Linked DNA regions of Elephas maximus indicus. The protein of the gene in region 1 purifies or fractionates together with the protein of each later gene. This does not show direct contact. Links are inferred from orthologs where the notes say so. Each region holds a gene or a part of one and is shown in the gene's direction. Other genes may lie near its edges.

The links. Proteins that work in one complex are often made in the same cells at the same time.
Region 2: the proteins of CXXC1 (region 1) and BOD1 purify together in Homo sapiens (affinity purification with mass spectrometry; 4 studies listed by BioGRID and IntAct, counting the BioPlex papers as one, with this or other methods). This does not show direct contact. The link is inferred for Elephas maximus indicus from reciprocal best matches to the Homo sapiens genes CXXC1 and BOD1.

What each region holds. Positions count from the first base shown.
Region 1 is NC_064829.1:58,941,396-58,952,050, reverse strand, and holds the start of CXXC1 (CXXC-type zinc finger protein 1), read left to right. Parts: upstream 1-6,350; 5' UTR 6,351-7,223; coding exon 7,224-7,226; exon of another isoform or gene 7,227-7,312; intron 7,313-8,082; coding exon 8,083-8,201; intron 8,202-8,303; coding exon 8,304-8,404; intron 8,405-8,728; coding exon 8,729-8,964; intron 8,965-9,052; coding exon 9,053-9,229; intron 9,230-9,597; coding exon 9,598-9,624; intron 9,625-9,703; coding exon 9,704-9,949; intron 9,950-10,098; coding exon 10,099-10,206; intron 10,207-10,368; coding exon 10,369-10,553; intron 10,554-10,655. UniProt on the Homo sapiens protein: Transcriptional activator that exhibits a unique DNA binding specificity for CpG unmethylated motifs with a preference for CpGG.
Region 2 is NC_064820.1:192,942,911-192,953,211, reverse strand, and holds the start of BOD1 (biorientation of chromosomes in cell division protein 1), read left to right. Parts: upstream 1-5,793; 5' UTR 5,794-6,005; coding exon 6,006-6,236; intron 6,237-10,301. UniProt on the Homo sapiens protein: Required for proper chromosome biorientation through the detection or correction of syntelic attachments in mitotic spindles.

The sequences.
Region 1 (10,655 bases):
TAAAGGCTGGCAGGTCCCAAGTTCATGGGTCAGGCCTCAGGCTGGAGGCTTCTCCTGACTCGTATAGCTTCAGGGGCTGATGAATTCAAAGGAATAGTACCATATCGAGTGCTCAGTGTTGGTCTCTGCTGCTGGCGGATTGGGTACTTAGCAGTGGCTGTAGCAAAGTTGGTTTGTGTGAGTGGAAGTCCATGTTACTGAGCCCATGCATAATCTCCATCCCTGCCACCATGGCCACTTTTTTCATGAGTGTATTGTGCAATGATTGGAGTGCCTGGTAAAGAGGATGACTGGTTTCCACAGAACGCATCATCCTATCCACTTGATTGTTAAAATTCTCCTCTGCCAAGATCACCCTTTGGTGGCCCATTCAGAGCTGTCTATCCATATACTCTTCCCCATACCTCCAATGGACTGGAAGAGATCCATATTTGTACCCATTCCAAAGAAAGGTGATCCAACAGAACGCAGAAGTTATTGAACAATACCACTAATATCATACACAAGTCAAATTTTAGTGAAGATCATTCAAAAGCAGTTGTAACTGTACATCAACAGGGAGTTGCCAGAAATTTAAGCTGAATTCAGAAGAGGACATGAAACAAGGGATATCATTGCTGCTGTCAGATGGATCATGGCAGAAAGCAGAAAATACCAGAAAGATGTTCATCTGTGTTTTATTGACTATGCTAAGGCATTCAGCTGTGAATCATAACAAATTATGGATAACGTTGAGAAGAATGGGAATTCCAGAACACTTAATTGTGCTCTTGAGGAACCTGTACGTCAACCAAGAGGCAGTCATTCAAACAGAGCAAGGGGATACTGCGTGGTTTAAAGTCAGGAAAGGTGTGCATCAGGATTGTATCCTTTCACCATACCTGTTCAGTCTGTATGCTGAGCAAATAATCCAAGAAACTGGACTGTATGAAGAACAGGGCATCAGGATTGGAGGAAGACACATTAACAACCTGAAATATGCAGATGACACAACCCTGCTTGCTGAAAGTGAAGAGGACTTGAAGCATTTACTGATGAAGATCCAAGACCACAGCCTTCAGTGTGGATTACAACTCAACATAAAGAAAACAAAAGTCCTCACAACTGGACCAATAAGCAACATCATGATAAGCAGAGAAAATATTGAAGTTGTCCAAGGATTTCATTTTACTTAGATCCACAATCAACTCTCATGGAAGCAGCAGTCAAAAAAATCAAACAATGCGTTGCATTGGGCAAATCTGTTGGAAAAGACCTTTTTAAAGTGTTACAGAGCAAAGATGTCACTTTAAGGACTAACGGGTGCCTGATCCAAGCCATGGTGTTTTCAGCTGGACAATGAATAAGGAAGACCGAAGAACTGATGCATTTGAATTATGGTATTGGAGAAGAATATTGAATATACTATGAACTGCCAGAAATATGAACAAATCAGCCAGAATGCTCCTTGGAAGGGAGGATGGCAAGACTTCATCTGACATGCTTTGGACAAGTTATCAGGAGGGTCCAGTCCCTGAAGAAGGACATCATGCTGGGTAAAGTAAAGGGTGAGTGAAAGAGAGGAAGGCTGTGCAACCAATACTCTTAATCAATGGTGAATTTTCCGTAAGCAAAAACTTCGCCTTTCTCCTTCCCTCCTGCTCCTGGTAACCACTAATAAACTGTAGTCTCTATACATTTGTCTTTTTATATAAATGAGTTCATACAGTATTTGTTCTTTTGTGACTGACTTATTTCACTCCACATAATGGCCTGAAGCTCCACCTATGTTGTAGCATTGTCAGAATGGGGTGGTGGGGGCATCTGACCTCCTCTAACCTCACGAGGGGAAGGAGACTCATTATCAGCATCAGCAGTCCAAGGCTAATTCCCATGAGACGCAGGTCAGACAAACCTCTGTTTCCAATCGTTTTACCAATTCTGACACCAGCCTTCCTTCCCACAGCACTCTCTACCTCTCTGCTGGGTTTGATAATTCATTGTAAAGGCCACACAGAACTCACAGACAATACTTACAATTATGGGATTTATTAGGGGGGTAACAGGTTACAGTTCAGGATCAGGAATGACTCAGGATACAGTTCTTCCATCAGGACAGCTTCTTCCCAACTGTGCCCACAGACAGGCCACTCTCTGGCCCTCAGCCCCTCAGACTCTCAACCTCACCTCTACCCTGCTCAGGCAAGTGTTACAAAGCTTTTTAGTTCTACCAGTAAGTGCCCAGAGGCACCCCACCCTGCCAGTAAATCTCAGCCCAAAGGTACTCAGCTCTCTAGCTCTGTGGGTCAGTAAGCCTAGCTCCGACGACAAGTACCCAGAGGAACCCTACTTTGCCAGTAAGCCTCCTGGCTGAAGACACTTATCTCTCTCACTGTGTAGGTTGGCGCACTGACTGTAACTGCCTTGCTCCCTGGGCCAAGAAGCCCATTGTGCCATCTCACGCAGGTCTCCTGGTTCTGCTGCTGCCGTTTTTCTGCTGCTGCTTCTCACAGCCTTGAGCCATCTTCAGTGTTATAGCTCTCTCTTTCTGTCTCCTGGGTCTAGGAGGCTGTAAGTGTGGGGAACCTGGGTTCAAAAGGACGTGCTCTGCTTCCATCTCTTCTTGGTGGTAGTGAGGTGCCCTTTTCTGCCTCTGAGATGGCTCATTTTAAGCCCAGTGGGATGGCAAAATCAACCAATCCTCTTGTTAGTGTTCCATACACCTTATTTGCATGTTCCCACCCCAACAAGGTTGCCATTCATCTTATTTGCATTATTAGCAAGTTGTCCAATCCCCTTGGTGAATCACAAGCACCTTATTTTAATAGTCCAACCCAATCGTTTTGTAGGAGTTACAAGACCATGGCGGGAAAGGCTACAAAAAAGAGATCCATCATACCACAAGCATATATCAGGACATCCTTTTTCTTTCTGGTTGAGTAGTGTTATGAATTGAATTGTGTCCCCCTCAAAATGTGTGTCAACTTGGTTAGGTCATAATTTTCAGTATTGTGTGATTGTCTACGATTTTGTCATTGATGATTTTCCTATGTGTTGTAAGTCCTACCTCTATGATGTTAATGTGTCAGGTTTAGAGGCAGTTATATTAGCGAGGCAGAACTCAAGCTACTAGATTAGCTTGTGTTTTGAGTCAATCTCCTTTGAGATATAGAAGAGAGAAGGAAGCAGAGACGTAGGGGGATCTCATACCACCAAGAAAGTAGTGCCAGAAGCAGAGTGTGTCCTTTGGACCCAGGACCAGTCCACTGAGAAGCTCCTAGACCAGGGGAAGATTGATGACCAGGACCTTCCCCAGAACCAACAGAGAGAGCCTTCCCCTAGTGCTGAAACTGAATTTCTAGCCTCCTAAACTGTGGTTAAGAGCTCAGGTTGCTAACCAAAAGGTTGGGAGTTTGGATTCACCAGCCACTCCTTGGAAACTCTATTGGGCAGTTCTACTCTGTCCTACAGGTTTTCTATGAGTCAGTATCAATTTGATGGCAATGGGTAAACTGTGAGAGAATGAATTTCTCTTTGTTAAAGCCATCCACTTGTGGTCTTTCTGTTACAGCAGCACTAGATGACAAAGACAAGTAATAACCCATAGTATGCATGTATTACATTTTGTTTATCCATTCATTCATTGATGGACATTTAGGTTGTCTCCACCTTTTGGCTATTGTGAATAGTGCTGCAGTGAACACTGGTTTACATCTCTTCCAGTGGCTGCTTTCAAGTCCCTTGTGTATATTCTCAGCAGTTGGATTGCTGAGTCATATGGTAGCTCTATTTCTTTTTTTTAATGAATATTGTACCCAATTTAAGTAAAAAAAAAAAAAAACCTTTACAGGAGAGAATATTAAAAACCTGTAGACATCGAGTCAATTTCAACTCATAGGATAGAGTAGAACTACCCCATAGGGTTTCCGAGGAGTGGCTGATGAATTCAAACTGCTAACCTTTTGGTTAGCAGTCACGCTCTTAACCACTGTGCCCCCAAGGCTCCAAGAGAATATTGGGAGACCCCAACTAAACTAGAAAATCAAAGTGGACATCTGCAGCCTATGGCAGTAGGGGTGGAGGGGAGGACTTGGTGACATTGGCTGACTGTGACTTCAAAATCTACTTCTGATCTGGCCACTTCTCACTAGGACCCACACTCATCATCATTTAAGGTCTTCCATCATTGCTCATGAATGATTCTGAGGGTAAGAACAACCAAAACCTAGCCTGTTGTCATTGAGTAAATTCTAACTGGTAGTGACCCTCTAGGACAGAGTAGAATTGCCCCATGGGGTTTCCAAGGCTGTAAATCTTTTATTTATTTATGATTTTTATTGTGCTTTAAGGTAAGTTTACAAATCAAGTCAGTCTCTCATACAAAAATTTATATACACCTTGCTATGTATTCCTAGTTGCTCTCCCCCTAATGAGTCAGCACACGCCTTCTCTCCACCCTGTATTCCCTGTGTCCATTCAGCCAGCTTTTGTCCCCCTCTGCCTTCCCATCTCCCCTCCAGACAGGAGCTGCCCACATAGTCTCATGTGTCTACTTGAGCCAAGAAGCTCACTCCTCACTAGTATCATTTTCTATCTTATAGTCCAGTCCAATTCCTGTCTGAAGAGTTGGCTTTGGGAATGGTTCCAGTCTTGGGCTAACAGAAGGTCTGGGGACCATGGCCTCTGGGGTCCTTCCAGTCTCAGTCAGACCATTAAGTCTGGTCTTTTTACGAGAATTTGAGGTCTGCATCCCACAGTTCTCCTGCTCCATCAGGGATTCTCTGTTGTGCTCCCTATCAGGGCAGTCATCAGTTATAGCTGGGCACCATCTAGTTCTTCTGGTCTCAGGCTGATGTAGTCTCTGATTTATGTGGCCTTTTCTTTTTTTCTCCAAGGCTGTAAATCGTTATGGAAGCAGACTGCCATATCTTTCTCCTGTGGAGCACCTGGTGAGCTCTGTGTGAGTGCACCCTAAAAATCTAAGGTGCTTGGCATAACTAAGGTGGCTGACACAGGTTTGAATCAGACTCTATTTTGCTTCTAACCTTCACTTCTGCTTTTAGATTGTGGATGGAATTTTCCACTTTTGTAAAGTTTTAACTACCCTACTTGAGCAGTCAAGGAGGGAGCAAGAATGTGGTTAAACATATGGCAAAATGTTACCTAAAGAGGGGGTCTTGTGACTGTACTTTGAAAGATTGCTTGTGCAGATCTTTCTCAGAAAGAATGTTAAAATAGATAAGCTGATGTCAAGATTTGTTCATTGCTCTAAACTGTATGTAAAAATCCCTCTCTACATAACCCCTCTGCAGCACTTTGCACTTGCTTTGTGCTGCCTGTTTTGAACCGTTCTAGTCCTCAATAAAACTATTGTTCTCTTGTGGCACAGTGAATTATTTAGTATGGCCCTTCTAGCCGTAGTTTTTGGAGCTCTCACCAAATGACAGGGTGGGACTATGTAAATGAGGTGCTTGTGTCCCACCAAAGGAATTGGATAGCTTGCTAATAATGTAAATAATGTGCATGGCACCCTTGTGTAGGTGGGATCATGCAAATAAGGTATATGGCACCCTAATGAGAGAATTGGTCAATTTTGCCATCCCTCTAGGCTTAAAATGAGCCATCCCAGAGGCAAGAAGAGAAGATCTCAACACCACCAAGAAAGAAGAGCCAGGAGCAGAGGCTATTTTTTGGATCCAGGATCCCTGAGCTGAGAACTTCCTACATCCAGGAGACAGAAAGGAGCTGTAACATGGAAGACAGTGAGAGACTTGCAAGATGGCAGAAATTAGGAGACCAGCGCAAGAAGGCTGCAGTGGGGCTTCCCAGCCAAAGGAGCTAGAGCTGAACACGGTGAGGCACAAGGCTTATTGGCAGAGTGGGGTGCCCCCCGGGCATTTATCAACAGAGCTAAAAGAGTTTGTAACACTCGCCTGAGCAGAGCAAAAGCCAAAGGACCAGCAAGAGGCCAAGAGGTTGGAGAGGCCAAGAGTCTGAGGGGCCAGAGAGTCTGAAATGAGGCTGTCCTTATGGAAGAACTGTGTCCTGAGCATTCAAGAGCCTGAATTGTAATCGGTTACTTCCCTAATAAACACCATAAGCGTGAGTATTGTCTGCGAGTTCTGTGTGGTCATTGCAACAAGTTATCAAACCCAAAGAGAAGTAAAGAGTGTCCTGGGAGGGGACAGTTGGTGTCAGAATTGGTAAAAAGGTTGGAGGGTGGAGGCATGTCAGACTTCCACCTCGTAGGAATCAGTCTTAGCTTGTTCCTATTGGTTCTCCTCCCTTGTGAATGTAGAGGTCAGACACCTCCCCCGCCCCGCCCACAAGGGGGTTACGTCTCTATTTACAGATCATGCTCAATTTTAAGCTTTGACAGCCGAACTGCTGACATTTAGGTTAGCAGTCGAGCGCTTTAACCACTGCGCCACCAGGGCGAGGCTGTTCCTGTAAAAACAGCAAAGGCCCAGAGGCTGACCCGCGCCTGGCTAATTTGAGGAATAGTGAGGAAGCGTGAAGAAGAAAATTTCTGTGAGGTGAAGTCAGAGATGTAACGGGGAGGACTGACTGCCTTCCTAACGCGATCCATATAACCTGTTGGCTCCCCATTAACGCATGTGGAAAGGAAAAGTGATTGAGTGGAGGAATGAATGAAAGGTTTCATCTGATCCGTTTCCTCAGAGGCCGCTTGGCCACTGCACTACAAACAGTCGTTGTACGGAGTCAACTGTCAACATGGCGGCGCCTTTGCGGTAGCCACAACTAGGGCGCTGCCATGGTGCCTGTGACTTTATGAACTCGGCCAGGTTACGGAATCAGACTCCAAGATGACAGCGGCTTCATGGAATTCGCGCAGTAGGTGAGGCCATATTGCTTGTTAACGTCGATACAGTACAGGCGGTCAGCGTACGGATTCGACCGACAAGGTGGCAGCCCCCAGAGGAAAGCTGCCATACAGGCGCTGCCATGTTTCACGGGAACTTACGGACTCGGTCGCCTTACGGACTCGATAGTCAAGATGGCGGCTCCTAAGAGCCATTCAGGGCTCTAGGCGGGCGTATAGCTTGTTTGCCGCGGAGCCGCCGTACGGAGCCTGCGCAATAGGGTACGGTGCCCGGTTGGCGCGACCAGAAGCGGAAGTGGTTCTAGTCGCCTTTGCAACGGCCGCGGACGCCGCGGAGTGGTCTGTGCAGGTTACCTTGTCGCTGGCCGAGGTTGCGAGCGGGTGCTTGGGAATTGGAGATATGGTGAGTACCAGTCCAGGGAGTTCTGCGGTAGAGGTCGGTGAGGTTCGTAATGGTGAAGTCCGACGACAGACGCATGGGAGTTTGTGGTGAGCTATAACAGGAGCCTGTGGGCGGAATGATGGGGGGGTCTGTGGTGAGCCTCAGAGGGTCCTTTGGGAAGAACGACGGAGGTCTGTGGTGAGCCATGATGAAAGTACTGTGAGGGGCCAGAAGGGGGTCCATAATGGGAGGTTAGTGGGGATCACTGATGGCGGTTCTGTGGAGAACCGTGATGAGGGGTTCTTTGGACAGAGTGATAAAGAGTTTGTGATGAGCCGTGTCGGACGGTCTGTAGTGCGGCGTGAGGAGGGTGTGTGGAGTAAATAGTGGGAAATCTGTGGAGAACAATGATGAGGAGTTTGTGTGGTAAATCACGGGGTGTCTGTGAGAACCCGTGGTGGAAGTCTGTGGGGAGCCACGGAGGAGGCAGTATATGGCGAGTACTAGGATGTTTGTGATGAGCCTTTATGAGGGTTTGTGTTTAAAGTCATGGGGTGTCAGTGGCATGAGTGATGGGAGGTCTGGGGTAGAATAAAAAGGGTCTATAGGCAGTAATGAGGTGTTACGGGGGGGTCTGTAAGGACCATGCTGCTGTTGTCAGGTGCTGTCAAGTCGGTTCTAATAGTGACCTTATGTACAACAGAACAAAATCCTGCCTGGTCTATAAGGACCATAGTGGAGAAACTTATGGGGAGGCATGATGGTAGTTCTCAGCAAAGCCATGGGTATCTGTGGCGAGGCATGATAAGAGTTGTAATGAGGGGGAGTGGTGCCATTTTGGGGGTTCTCTGAGGAGTCATAATGGGGGATCCCACAGGAGGGGGACGGTTCAGACCCAGAGCCACCAGATGCTGGGGAGGATAGCAAGTCGGAGAATGGGGAGAATGCGCCCATCTACTGCATCTGCCGCAAGCCAGACATCAACTGCTTCATGATGTGAGCCGGGGAGACGCGGGTGGGGTTGATACCTGGCAGGGTTGGGTGATGCTGATGGGGCCTGGGCCCTCACTTCTCCACCACCCGCCCCATCCTCTGCAGCGGGTGTGACAACTGCAATGAGTGGTTTCATGGGGACTGCATCCGGATCACTGAGAAGATGGCCAAAGCCATCCGGGAGTGGTACTGTCGGGAGTGCCGAGGTGAGGGGGAGGTGGGATAGACAGGGCAGGCAGGTGGAGCTTCAAAGGGCGAGGAAGAGGAGGAGGGAACCACAATGGGAGGGGGGTGTGGGAAATAATGATGATGTGTCTGGGGGCAGAGCAATTGTTGGTCCGTGGTGAGCTGGAACTGGGGCTCCATCGTGAGCCACAATAGAGGGTCCTGCAAGAGGGAGCAGCTTTGCCCTGGAGCAGGGGGATGGAGCGGGTGGGTGGTATGGGAAGGAAAGGAAAATAAAGAGTTCCGGGACCATCCAAACCACCCCCAATACTGAACTGCCAGTGGCCCCATCCTCCCCCCGACAGAGAAGGACCCCAAACTGGAGATCCGCTACCGGCACAAGAAGTCACGGGAGCGGGACGGCAGTGAGCGGGACAGCAGTGAGCCCCGGGATGAGGGTGGAGGGCGCAAGAGGCCTGCCCCGGATCCAGACCTGCAGCGCCGGGTGGGGTCTGGGACAGGGGTCGGGGCCATTCTTGCTCGGGGCTCTGCTTCACCCCACAAAGCCTCTCCACAGCCCTTGGTGCCCACACCCAGCCAGGTGAGTGACTTTGGTGGTTGGGATGGATAGGATGGTTCCATCCTGCACCCTGTATGGGTTCCTGATTCATTCCTGTCATCTTCCCCAGCATCACCAGCAGCAGCAACAGATCAAACGGTCAGCCCGCATGTGCGGTGAGTGTGAGGCGTGCCGGCGTACTGAAGACTGTGGCCACTGTGACTTCTGCCGGGACATGAAGAAGTTTGGAGGCCCCAACAAGATCCGGCAGAAGTGCCGGCTACGCCAGTGCCAGCTTCGGGCCCGGGTGAGCATGGGTGGAGTTGGGCAGGGTCAGGTGGGGTGGGGACATTGTGTCCAGGAGCGGCTGGTTCAGTTTATGCATGGGTGGATTGGGTTGTATCCAGGCAGGTGGGAAGGGGCCTGACACGTCCAGATAGATGGGGCATAACCAGATGTATTGGACTGGCAGGAGATCCCATAGCCCTGTATGTATTTGAGTGGGCAGGGTGAGGCCAGGTGTTTCCAGGTGGTCAGGCAGGTGGGGCAGGGCTGAGCAGGTTCTGGTGGGTGGGATTGGGCCAGGTGTGTCTAGGGAAGCAAGGCAGGGCTAGGTGGGTGGGGCCAACCTCCATCCACCTGGGGCTGACCTGGGCCTTCCTCCTGCCGGCACAGGAATCGTACAAGTACTTCCCTTCCTCGGTGAGTCCAGCCCCCCAGGGTGGGGTGGGGGGCATGCGGGCAGGGCGGTCAGGGCCAGTCCTGAGGTTCTGCCCTGCAGCTCTCGCCGGTGACGCCCTCAGAGTCCCTGCCAAGGCCCCGCCGGCCATTGCCCACCCAGCAGCAGCCACAGCCATCACAGAAGCTGGGGCGCATCCGTGAGGACGAGGGAGCTGTGGTGTCATCAGCGGTCAAGGAGCCACCTGAGGCTACAGCCACTCCTGAGCCACTCTCAGACGAGGACCTACCACTGGACCCTGACCTGTACCAGGACTTCTGTGCTGGGGCCTTTGATGACCACGGCCTGGTGAGCAGGCAGGAGTGTCCGATGGTGGAAGGGTGGAGGTTACAGAGCAGAGAAGAAGGAGGCAGAGGGTATGGAAGACTGATTTGGGAAATTATGTGGCAGGGTTGTCATGAGTAGGGTGGAGGGATCAATGCATGCCCTGCTTGCAGCCCTGGATGAGTGACACAGAGGAGTCTCCATTCCTGGATCCCGCACTGCGGAAGAGAGCAGTGAAAGTGAAGCATGTAAAGCGCCGGGAGAAGAAGTCTGAGAAGAAGGTGACGGAAGGGGTGAACTAAAACATGGGAGGCAGTGGCCAGGGCAGGGGTGTGGGGAGGCAAGGATCAGGGGCTATAGGAGGCAAGAGCCAGAAGGGGTGGAATGGTAGGGTCTGGGGCTAACTTCACCTGCCCTCTGACTTTCCCTGCCCTGGCCCATAGAAGGAGGAGAGATATAAGCGGCATCGACAAAAACAGAAGCACAAAGACAAATGGAAACACCCAGAGCGGACTGATGCCAAGGACCCTGCATCGCTACCGCAGTGCCTGGGGCCTGGCTGTGTGCGTCCCGCACAGCCCGGCTCCAAGTATTGCTCAGATGACTGTGGCATGAAGCTGGCAGCCAAGTGAGTCATTTCAGGGGTTCAGGGAGTACAGACTAGGGCATGACCAGCACATCTGTATGTCCACCAATCAATAATCTATCCACCATTCATACAACCAAACAC
Region 2 (10,301 bases), on another chromosome or scaffold:
AAATTTTTTTTTAACTCTAGGTACATATTAATCAAGATTTCTGCCCAATAACAGACAATATTAGGATTACTGTTTCAAAGCCATATTACAGGAAGTCCCCAACTTATGACATATTCGAGTTACGACGAACCGCACTTACAACCATCTGTTTTTCTTTTCTTGTACAGCTTATCATTAGTAATATGTACTACATACAATGTTGCAGAGTGTAATTTGCTGATGTTATCATTCTAAGACGTTCTCTCGCAGATGTTCAATATTATGATTTAGAAAGATACTGATAATAAAAGGCAATAACAATGAAAACTAAAAAAAAAAAAAAATGAGGTACTCAACTTACGTGAGAACTAACTTACGACAGAGTCGTCAGAAGGGAATCTGTCCTAAGTCAGGGACTACCAGTATTAGCTGTTGTGTGCCAGGTTCTGCATATAATATTATCTATAATCTTCATGACAACTTTGTGAGGTATTTTATTTTCCCCATCTTACAGATGAGCAAACTGAGGCTTAGACTGCCCTAGGTCACAGAGCCAATAGGTGTTACTGTTAGTTGTCATCGGGTCGATTCCAATTCATAGCAACCCCATGTGTGCAGAGTAGAACTGCTCCATAAGATTTTCAACACTAGGACCTTTCAGAAGCAAATCACTGGGCTTGTCTTCTGAGATGCCTCTGGGTGGGTTCAAACTGCCAATAAGTAGAGGTCCTGAATCCAAACCCAAACCAATTCCAAATTTCTTACTCTTGTCTCTGTATCAGGTTGCTTTTTCACTAGCCCTCCTTTAGTAGTTGAAAATGGCAATATGTTAAAAACACCGCAGCCTGGTGTGTTTTCTAAGATGCATATTTGGTTGGAGAGATGGAGGTAGTATTGAGTGGTGCTGAGGACTCCTGCTTGTTAAAGCCTTGTTTTCTTGGTGTATATTTAGATCCCATCTGTCACTGGAGATGCTGGAAAACATCATAAAGAACCAAATATATGTATAAAGAAGTAGAGATCAAATGGTGCAGATGTAGCCAATAAGCTACAGACAGGCAATCAATGATGTCTGGAAAAACTCTGGATGCTGTTAATTAAGAAATGAGCAGCTGTCCAGCCCAAGAGCTGGCAAGGCTCCTTGGATGGATATATGGAGGCAAGAAAAAAAGGGCCACAGCCACGTACATGAAAAATGACCTGTTGGTCTATCTCACATGGGTATACAGGCCTGAGTTCAGCCTTGTTGTTGTTAGCTACTGTCAAGCGGGTCCCCAACTTACAGCAACCCCACGCAAAATGGAACCAAAAGCTGCCTGCTCCTGTGCATCTTCCTGATGTGTCACAGATCGAACCACTGGGATCCACATGGTTTGCACTGACTGATTTTTGGAAATAGATCACCAGGCCTTTCTTCCTGGCCTGACTTAGTCTGGAAGCTCTGCTAAAACCTGTTCAGCATCATAGCAACATGCAAGCCTCCACTGACAGATGGCTTGCGGCTGTGTATGAGGTGCACTGGCCAGGAATCGAACTTGGGTCTCCCACATGGAAGGTGAGAATTCTACCACTGAGCCATCACTGTTCCCTTGTTGTCATACACTATTAAGTCAATTCTGACTCACAGTGACCCTACAGGACAGAGTAGAAGTGTCCCATAGGATTTCTAGGTCTTTTCTTCTGCAGAGTGGCTGGTGGGTTCGAACCATCAACCATTCCCTTAGTACCAAAGTGCTTACCCACTGGGCCACCAGAGTGCCTTACTCTCCCCTTAACCCATTGCCATCAAGCTGATTCTGACTCATAGCGACCCTATAAGACAGTAGACCTGCTCCACAGGGTTTCCAAGGAGTGGCTGGTAGATTTGAACTGCCAGTCTTTTGATTAGCAGCCAAGCTCTTAACCACTGCACCACCAGGGCTACTCTGTCCCCATAGGGTTCTGAAATGCTCTTGCTGAAGGATCAGGATCTTGGATTAGAAGGCTGGAAGGTTAGCAAGGCAACTACAGACAGACTTCTAACCTTTAGGCCTGCCCTGACCTCCAGCCTCCTAGTCCAGTCTAGTTGTATATTATAAATGGCTCACTAGATTGTACCCGACCCCTCCGAATATTGGCTATATCCTGACACTCAGTCTAAGATAATATCAAGTCTTAAAAGGTCTTATCTGTATCTAGAAGAGTAAACTTCCCATTCTCATTCTTTTTTTTTTTCCTTTTCCATCCATGCATTACGTATTTACCAAGAGCCTGTACCTACCAGGCACTGTTCTAGATGCTGAGAACACAACAGTGAACAATGCAGTAGACAGTCCCTGCCTTCATGGAATTTAGAGGTTAGTCAGGGGAGGCAGAGGTTAATCAAATAGCCTCCCAGCCCAAACATCAACTGTGACTGCAATCTATTGTTAAGCACTGAATAAGGACCAGGAATTATACTAACTGGATTGCCAAGACTATGCTTTATCCCCTCCTCAGATCTGAGGAAACTGAGGCTCCGAGAGGTAATGCAATTTTTCCAAGGTCCTAGGTCATACTACCTACAAAGTGACAGAGCTGGGATTCTGATCCAGCACAATCTGATGCAAAAAAACCCATGCGTTTGGCTACTTTTCCATTTCCCCCCTTGGCAGCCTATGGATCTCATTTCTTTCCCCGTTTCTGCCCTTTCTCCTTTGAGGTCTGGATTTGGGCTTGTAGGCTTGCAGAATTTATACCCTCCATGCAGTCTTTGACATAAAATATTCCAGCATCTAATATGTACAAGTCACTGTGTCATGTCACTCATTACGGGCAAATTTTAAGACTGAGAATCAGCAGTGATTGTTACCTAAAACCAAACCCGCTGCCGTTGAGTCGATGAGTAGAACTGCCCCACAGAGTTTCCAAGGAGCTCCTGGCGGATTCAAACTGCCAACCTTTTGGTTAACAGCTGTAGCACTTAACCACTATGCCACCAGGGTTTCCAATGTTACCTAAAGGATACCTGGAAAAAAGAGATTACTACCTAGGCCAAAATTTAACAAAATATTCTGTGCAGAGATTGCTAAACATTCTAGATGATTAATACAGCAATGGCGCTCCCTGGTGACCACTGTGGTTTGTTACACTTTCCTTGACCTTGGGAAGCAGCACATTTGCAGGGTTTGAGTGAATAAGCTCTACTAGTCCCGGTCACCTGTGCTCCCCTTGCCTGCCCCATTTATACCAATTCTAGAGGCAACGTCAAGGGCATGGGGTGAGCATCTTTTCACAGTTCAGAGTTTATAGCAACCAGGATCACTTGGGATCACCTACCCGTTAGGTCATGACAGACTAACCCGCCATCTCCTACTAAAGTGATTCTTTCTTTTCTCAAGATTGTCGCCATAAATGTCCCCATCCACACAGTCTCTGACCCTATCCCATGGCTACAGGAAACAGACAAGAACTAAAGCAAACACTCACCCGTTCAACCAATATTTATTGGAACCCTCTCTGAGCCAGGTTCTTGGGGCCCAGGCTCTTGGTCTAAGTATAGGTCCTTGGGTGGTACAAATGGTTTGTTTTTAGCTACTAATGCAAAGGTTGGCAATTTTAGTCCACCCAATGGCACCACAGAAGAAAGGCCTGGCAATCTACTTCCATAAAATTACAGCCATTGAAAATTCTACGGAGCTAGTTCTACTCTAAAACGTGGGATCGCTATGAGTTGGAATCGACACAACGGGTTTGGTTTGGTTTTCTCAGAGTTATACATTGTGGTAAGGGCTGGGGAAATAGCAATGAATAAGTTGTGGTCCCTGCTCTAAAGGTTATACTCCGGCAGGGGAGACAGGCCACCAATTAGCCTATAAATGATTCACTTTGAATTACAGTAAATGCTACAAGAATGAGGTTCTAAGAGTCTATATCAGGGAGACAAAACCTGTTGTGTAACAATCAAGCAGCACCTGGACCCAAGGTTAGCCACATCTCCAAGAGACCGAAGAAAGACTCCAGAACCAGCAATCATGACATATGGTTTACTGGGAAGCTTACTTATGGGACAGTGACCCAGGGCAGTGGCTGGACCAGTTTAGTGCTCTGCAATTGCCTAGCAAGGGGAACAAGCTTACATACCGTTTCAGCTGGGACCAAGGCTCATGGTTTTACTCCCATGTCCTTGGGCAGGTAGCGTTCCCAGGGACTTCTCATCCAGGCCCTTTCTTGCTAAGGCATTCCTCGGCCTTGGCCACTGGCCTAGTCACACCATTCCTGGCCTTGTACCTTAGTCCCAGTCCATCCCGAGTTCATCCCCAGCATGCTTTGGGGAAGAGCAAAACTAACTCCATTAGAAGGAAATACCTATAGCTGAAGCATTACCCTAAAAAACCAGATTAGGGTTGGAGATCAGAAAAATTTGCCCTGAGGAAAGAAAGTAAGGTGTGGTGTGCCTAAACTGGAGGGGAGGTTGGCCAAGGTGATCAGGGAGCTTGGAAGAGAATGAACCTGGGGCCCAGGCAGCCTGAATTGGGCTTCTTCTGAGGCTAACTGTGAATGATGAAAGTGTAGGGTTCATTAGTAGGAATAGATCTCAGGTGATTTCAAGGACGGTGATGGTATTAAGGGAGAATGTTTGACATTAACTTATCATGAGGAAGGTTGAGCTGATGCCAAACGACGAGTAGAAACTAACACCTGAATATTTATCTTGAGGGTTAATTTAAACTATCATGAGTAGTAAATGTTGGAATGGAGAATATCCTGGATCTCTGCCAATCCTGGATCTTCCAGGAAGCCAAGGATATTGCAGAATTTATTATTTACATCCCCTCCATTATCATGTATGATTTGGAAATAACAACAGCTGACATAATTGCCGGGGTTGTGGGCAGGAGCTAAAGCGCAAAAAGATGCAAAGAAGAGAGAATAATGGTGGCAATCATAGAGTTCCAACAGTGAATTGTGGCTGTAAAAAATCTGGATATAAAACCTTATCTATTGTATGATGTCAGATAGCTCTTGGGATGTAGCGCGCCTTAGGTTAAGCACGCAAGATTTCGATTCAGGAAACCTGGGTTCAAATCCTATCTTTCCACTTCCAGCTGTGTGCTCACGTTAACAAACTCTTGCGCCTTCATTTCTGCATCTGTAAAAGGCGAATAATAGCAACTACTTCTTAGACTGTTGTGAAGTGGTGCTTGTAAAGTGCTTAGCATCATGCCTGGCATATTCCAGTTACTCGATACTAGGTTTTTAATTATTATTTAATATCTGAGAGAAAATCTACCCACGTGTAAGACACTTACCAGAGATCTTCATTTTCTTTCCTCACACTTTTCCAATTTTCTAAAATGTGCATGCATTGCTCTTAAAATCAGAAGAAAAAGTCAAATTTTTGAATAATAGAAATTTGACAAGTCCGCTGTTTTTTAAATTTCCCTGATTATATTGTTTAGTAGGGGGTGGGAGTACATGTTAAAAACACAAATTCCTTGGCCCCGACCCAGAAATACTGAATCAGAGTCTCCAAGGGATCAGCTTGGTAATCTACACTTTTAGCAAGCACCGCAGATGATTCTTATAATCAAGCACTGTTGAGATAAATTGGATTAATGTGAGGATAGTAGTGACTCGACTGGGATAGGCGACCCGCTTGCAGCACCCACGAGGGCCTGAGCCTACAATTCCCATACTGCCCCCGCAAACTCGCGACGGGCGCGTCCGGAGCCTGCCGGGAATTGTAGTTTTCGTGCACCACACTCCTGCTTATAAGAAAGCCCGAACTGATGCCGAAAACTTCCCGCCCCAGAATGCAAAAGTCAAGAGTGACGCAATCTGGAGCGCGCCAGGTATTGAGCGGGGAGTTTCGGCCGCCTCTGCTGCCGCCGCCGCCGCCGCCGCCTGAGAGCCTGCTTTCTGCACCGCCGCCTCCTTCGCAGCCTCCCCCGCTTCCCTCATCTCTTTGGGAGCCTACTGCTCCGCCACCCCCTCTACGCGACTCGGGCCCTCTTCCCCTGAGAAGAAGCTTTATTCGGCCTCGGTCGCGGGGCCGGAGCGCAGCCATGGCTGACGGCGGCGGGGGAACGGGCGCGGTGGGCAGTGGCGGAGCGGGCCCGGCCTCCGCAGGGGCAGCGTCAGGCGTGACAGGCGCCGGCGGCAGCGGCGGCCCCATCAACCCCGCGTCGCTGCCCCCCGGCGACCCGCAGCTCATCGCGCTCATCGTGGAGCAGCTCAAGAGCCGGGGCCTGTTTGACAGCTTCCGCCGGGACTGCCTGGCCGACGTGGACACGAAGGTAGCTGAGACCGCCTGGGTCGAGCGAAGCCGGGCTGGGTGTGAGGCCGCCAAGGTTGCAGCCTTTTTTTTTCTAAAGCAGAGACAAAAAGACAAAAGATACCTTTTAAATCTCAGCGGTGAGGTGTTAAACCGCTTGGGGCAGTACAGAGAGCTGAGTCGTACTTCTGTGGAGCAGACTCCCAGCCCGCCACTTTGTAGCTGTACGATTTTAGCCTGATCGCTTCTCAGAACTTCAGGGCGATTAATACTAGTTTTTAGAACCCAGATTCTATCATTCCCGAGATGGGACTCTTTTAAATCCCTCAATAACAAACCTCAATTCGTTACAAGCGGTGGAGAAAACCAGGTAGGTAAGCAAGAATGGTTTAGAATTTCCACCAGTTCTCTATTGAACGCGGTAGTTTGAATGCAGTCATCAGCGTATTATAGCGATTCATTTGTTCCTTTGCTCTGCCTCAGTGATTTGCAAACTTTAGTATCTAGTTAAAGTCCGTTGTTGTTAAAGCACCCATATATTGTATTCCATCATTGATTAAAGGGGGTTTGGTGCTTATTTGAGAATTAATGCCATAGGTCAACCCCCAGTAAAACTGCAATTTCACTTTACCTACTTTCAGGGTTTGTTGGGATTCAATGAAATAATGTGTATTAAATGTCAGACACTTAATTTCTGGAATATTCATTTTCTTTTTTTAGAAGCTTTTCCAAGCACGATCAAAGACTCTTTAAGTTGTAGGTTTTGGCGGCGCTCTTACTGGCTGGGCTCCTCTAGGGATATGATTTTTCCCTCTTTTAACCTATTATGGAAGTCTTGTTGCCTGCTTTACAGGAGGAAACCCTGGTGGTGTAGTGGTTAAGTGCTACAGCTGCTAACCAAGAGGTCAGCAGTTCAAATCCGCCAGGCACTCCTTAGAAACTCGATGAGGCAGTGCTATCCTGTCCTGTAGGGTCGCTGTGAGTCGGAATCGACTCTACAGCAATAGGTTTGGTGTGTTTTTGGTACTTTACAGGAAGATTGTGGCCTGAAAATGAGACCTTAAAGATAAGGGAAGGACATAATCTAGTTATTCATTGAACATTTACTGAACTAATAATATGGCAGTGTTCCTGTGAAGGTGCCGGAATAAGTAAGCCACTGACCCCATCTCAAAGCTCATGTTTTAAGATAGAAAACTTACATGTAAACCAGGTAGTATATATAGTAAAGTTCTGCTTGCCGTTTTACTCCTCCAAGATAAAAACCCCATGTTAGAAGCGAAACAAGGTACTTGCTGTTCTTTAAGGAACCCGGAAAACCATGTCACCTGCTTTCTCCTTCTTCAGAAGGACCCTGGATGTTTCCCATCAACAAAATCTCCACTCATTTCTTATGATTAGGTTTTGTGGCTTAATCAAAAAAAAAAGAAATGATCCAGAATATTAAGAAGCTGTTGGGAAGCAGGGGGTCGGAAGGCAACCACATATGTTGCTGGGTGCCATCAAGTCAGTTCAACTCATAGCAACCCCGTGTGGCAGTAGAACTGTCCATAGGACTTTCTAGGTTGGTGGTGCAGTGGTTAAGTGCTTGGCTGCTAACCAGAAGGTCAGCTGTTGGAACCTACCAGGCGCTCCGAAGAGGAAAGATGTAGCAGTCTGCTTCCGTAAAGATTTACAGCTCATTGGAAACCCTGTGGGGCAGTTCTCCTCTGCCCTGTAGCATCGCTATCGGTTGGTAATCGACTTGATGGCAGTGGGTAATCGTTACAAGAATAGATCGCCAGTTCTTTCTCCTGCAGAGCCACTAGGTGGGTTCAGCTGAGCACATAACCGTTGTGCCACCAGGGCTCCTTACAACCACTTATACCTTTTAATTGTTTCTTCTGGTAGTTACCGGGTGGTTTTAATTCTTAAAGACAGTGTCTTCGGGCATGTCTTATCTGAGACCTTTGTTTAGCTCAGTGTTTCTCCAAAGTGTGATCCCTGGATCAGCGGCACCAGTATCACCTGGGAACTTATTAGAGGTGGAAGTTTTGGGCCCCACTCAAGTACCAAAGTGCACAGGGGAAAGTGTACTGATGTCTGTAATTTGCTGTGCCATCCACCCGGTATACAAGTAATTAAATAGAATGACCTGATGGCTGATTAAGAGAGGACTGGTTGGATAGATAAATGATAAAACATTTATAGTAAGGTGTTAATATAGGGACATTAGGTCCTTTGACTAGATGAACTGTATGTCAAGTCTGTTAAAGGTTTGGTACTAGCATTTGCTATCCTTTGCCTTTTTTCAGTAAACAGTTTCTGTCATCTCAAACTGTGTGAATTGTTTTGAGTGGTAGAAGGTACAGCATCAGGATTCATGGTTAAAAGTGACGGAAATCTAATTCTAAGTCCTTTAAGCAAAGAGAGGAGTCTGTTGACTCGTGGAATCCAAGGAAGGATTGAATGAACAAACTGTGCCAGAATAGGAGGGATGCGTTTGCAACCTGGGATTCTCCATTAGGGCGCTCTTTCCTCTCTGCTCTTACATTTATGTTACTGTGTCTGCAGAGTGGAGTCATCCATTTGGTTGCCAGCATCACTTGAGCACTCTTAACAGATTTTTCCTCTCTGAGCTCCGGTTGTAAAGATCTCAGGCAACGCTTGCCTTGTCTTAGCTTGCGGCAGGTGAACAGGGCCATAAGAACATGGCAGCCACTTGCCAACCCCTTGTGAAGAGAAGATGGTTACCAGGAAAAAGGAGTTGTTAACTGTGAATTTTACTCCTCTTCAGCCTCCTCCCAGCCTTCCTCATTTCAGGTTTAGTGGAGATTCTTTAGTAGGCTTGTAAGCCTGCTTTCTTGGTATTTTGGAAGAGTCTACCCATGGCAGGAGGCCTGGTGATTGCTTTGATGAATTCATTTGCCTGATGTGTTAGGAAGCTTTTGCCATAGTAATGCTGCATAGGAAACCAAACCTCAGTGGCTTATAACAATAAGCATTGGCGCTCATTTATGCGGCTAGAGCTGCGAGTCAGCTTAAGTTCGGCTGACCTAGGCAGGCTTCAGCTGGGTGGCTCAGCGCTAGGCTGCCTGGGCTCGTGTCCAGGCTGTGGGTTGGGTTTAGGTCTGGGTGCACATGCGCTCATTCTAGATTCCAGGCTTGAAGGGGCAGTGGCGACACAGGACATGCCCTCCCAAAGTCATGCAAGAGCCAAGGCAGATGCACAAGCACATTTGAGGCCTCATGTCACTAACGTTCCATTGGCCAGAGCAAATTACAGTTCAGGCCAGCACCGTTGGGGGGGAGACATATGCACTGCCCACCTTGGGTGGGCTACAGCGTGAAGTGCCGACCAGCGGCCTACACGCTCATATCTGGTTTGGAGAGGAGAGGCACTGATAGAGTCAGAAGGTCTTTGGCTCAGGACGTGCATTCCTGTGTTCACCAAAACAAAAAACAAACCCATTGCCATCGAGTAGATTTCAACTCACAGCGAGCCTAGAGGACAGAGTAGAACTGCTCCATAGGGTTTCCAAGGAGCGCCTGGTGGATTCGAACTGCCAACCTTTTGGTGAGCAGGTATAGCTCTTAACCACTATGCCACCAGGGTTTCCAAGTTACTTCTAATTCTTCTGACGCTAGTTTTGTTTAGAACGTTTGCCACCAGTAAGTGCCTCTCAAGCAGAGAATGCTCTTTTTTGGACTAATGTCTTACTGAGGTGTGGGTAGATCTTCATTCTACGCAGAGGGCTTTCCCGGGACCTTGTTGCCGAGAACACCCTGTGAGGTAACAGGACAGTAATATTTCAGTTTTACAGATGGAAATAACAGACTTAGGAGGTGAGTGACTTGTCGAAAGTTAAGATAGCTAGTAAGCGATAGAACCAGGGCGAGAACCTAGTCTTCTTTGATCCAATGCAGCCTAGGTCTAACCTTGGTTTTATCACACTTCAGCCATGTGGGCAAGTTATTTACTCTTTAAGGCTAAATTTCTGGTCTGTGATGTGGAAGAGGAAGGAGATAATAGGACCTCCTTCTTAGAGTTGCTTGAAAAGTAAGTGGGATCATGTAAGTAAAGCATCCAGCACTCAGCCCACTATCA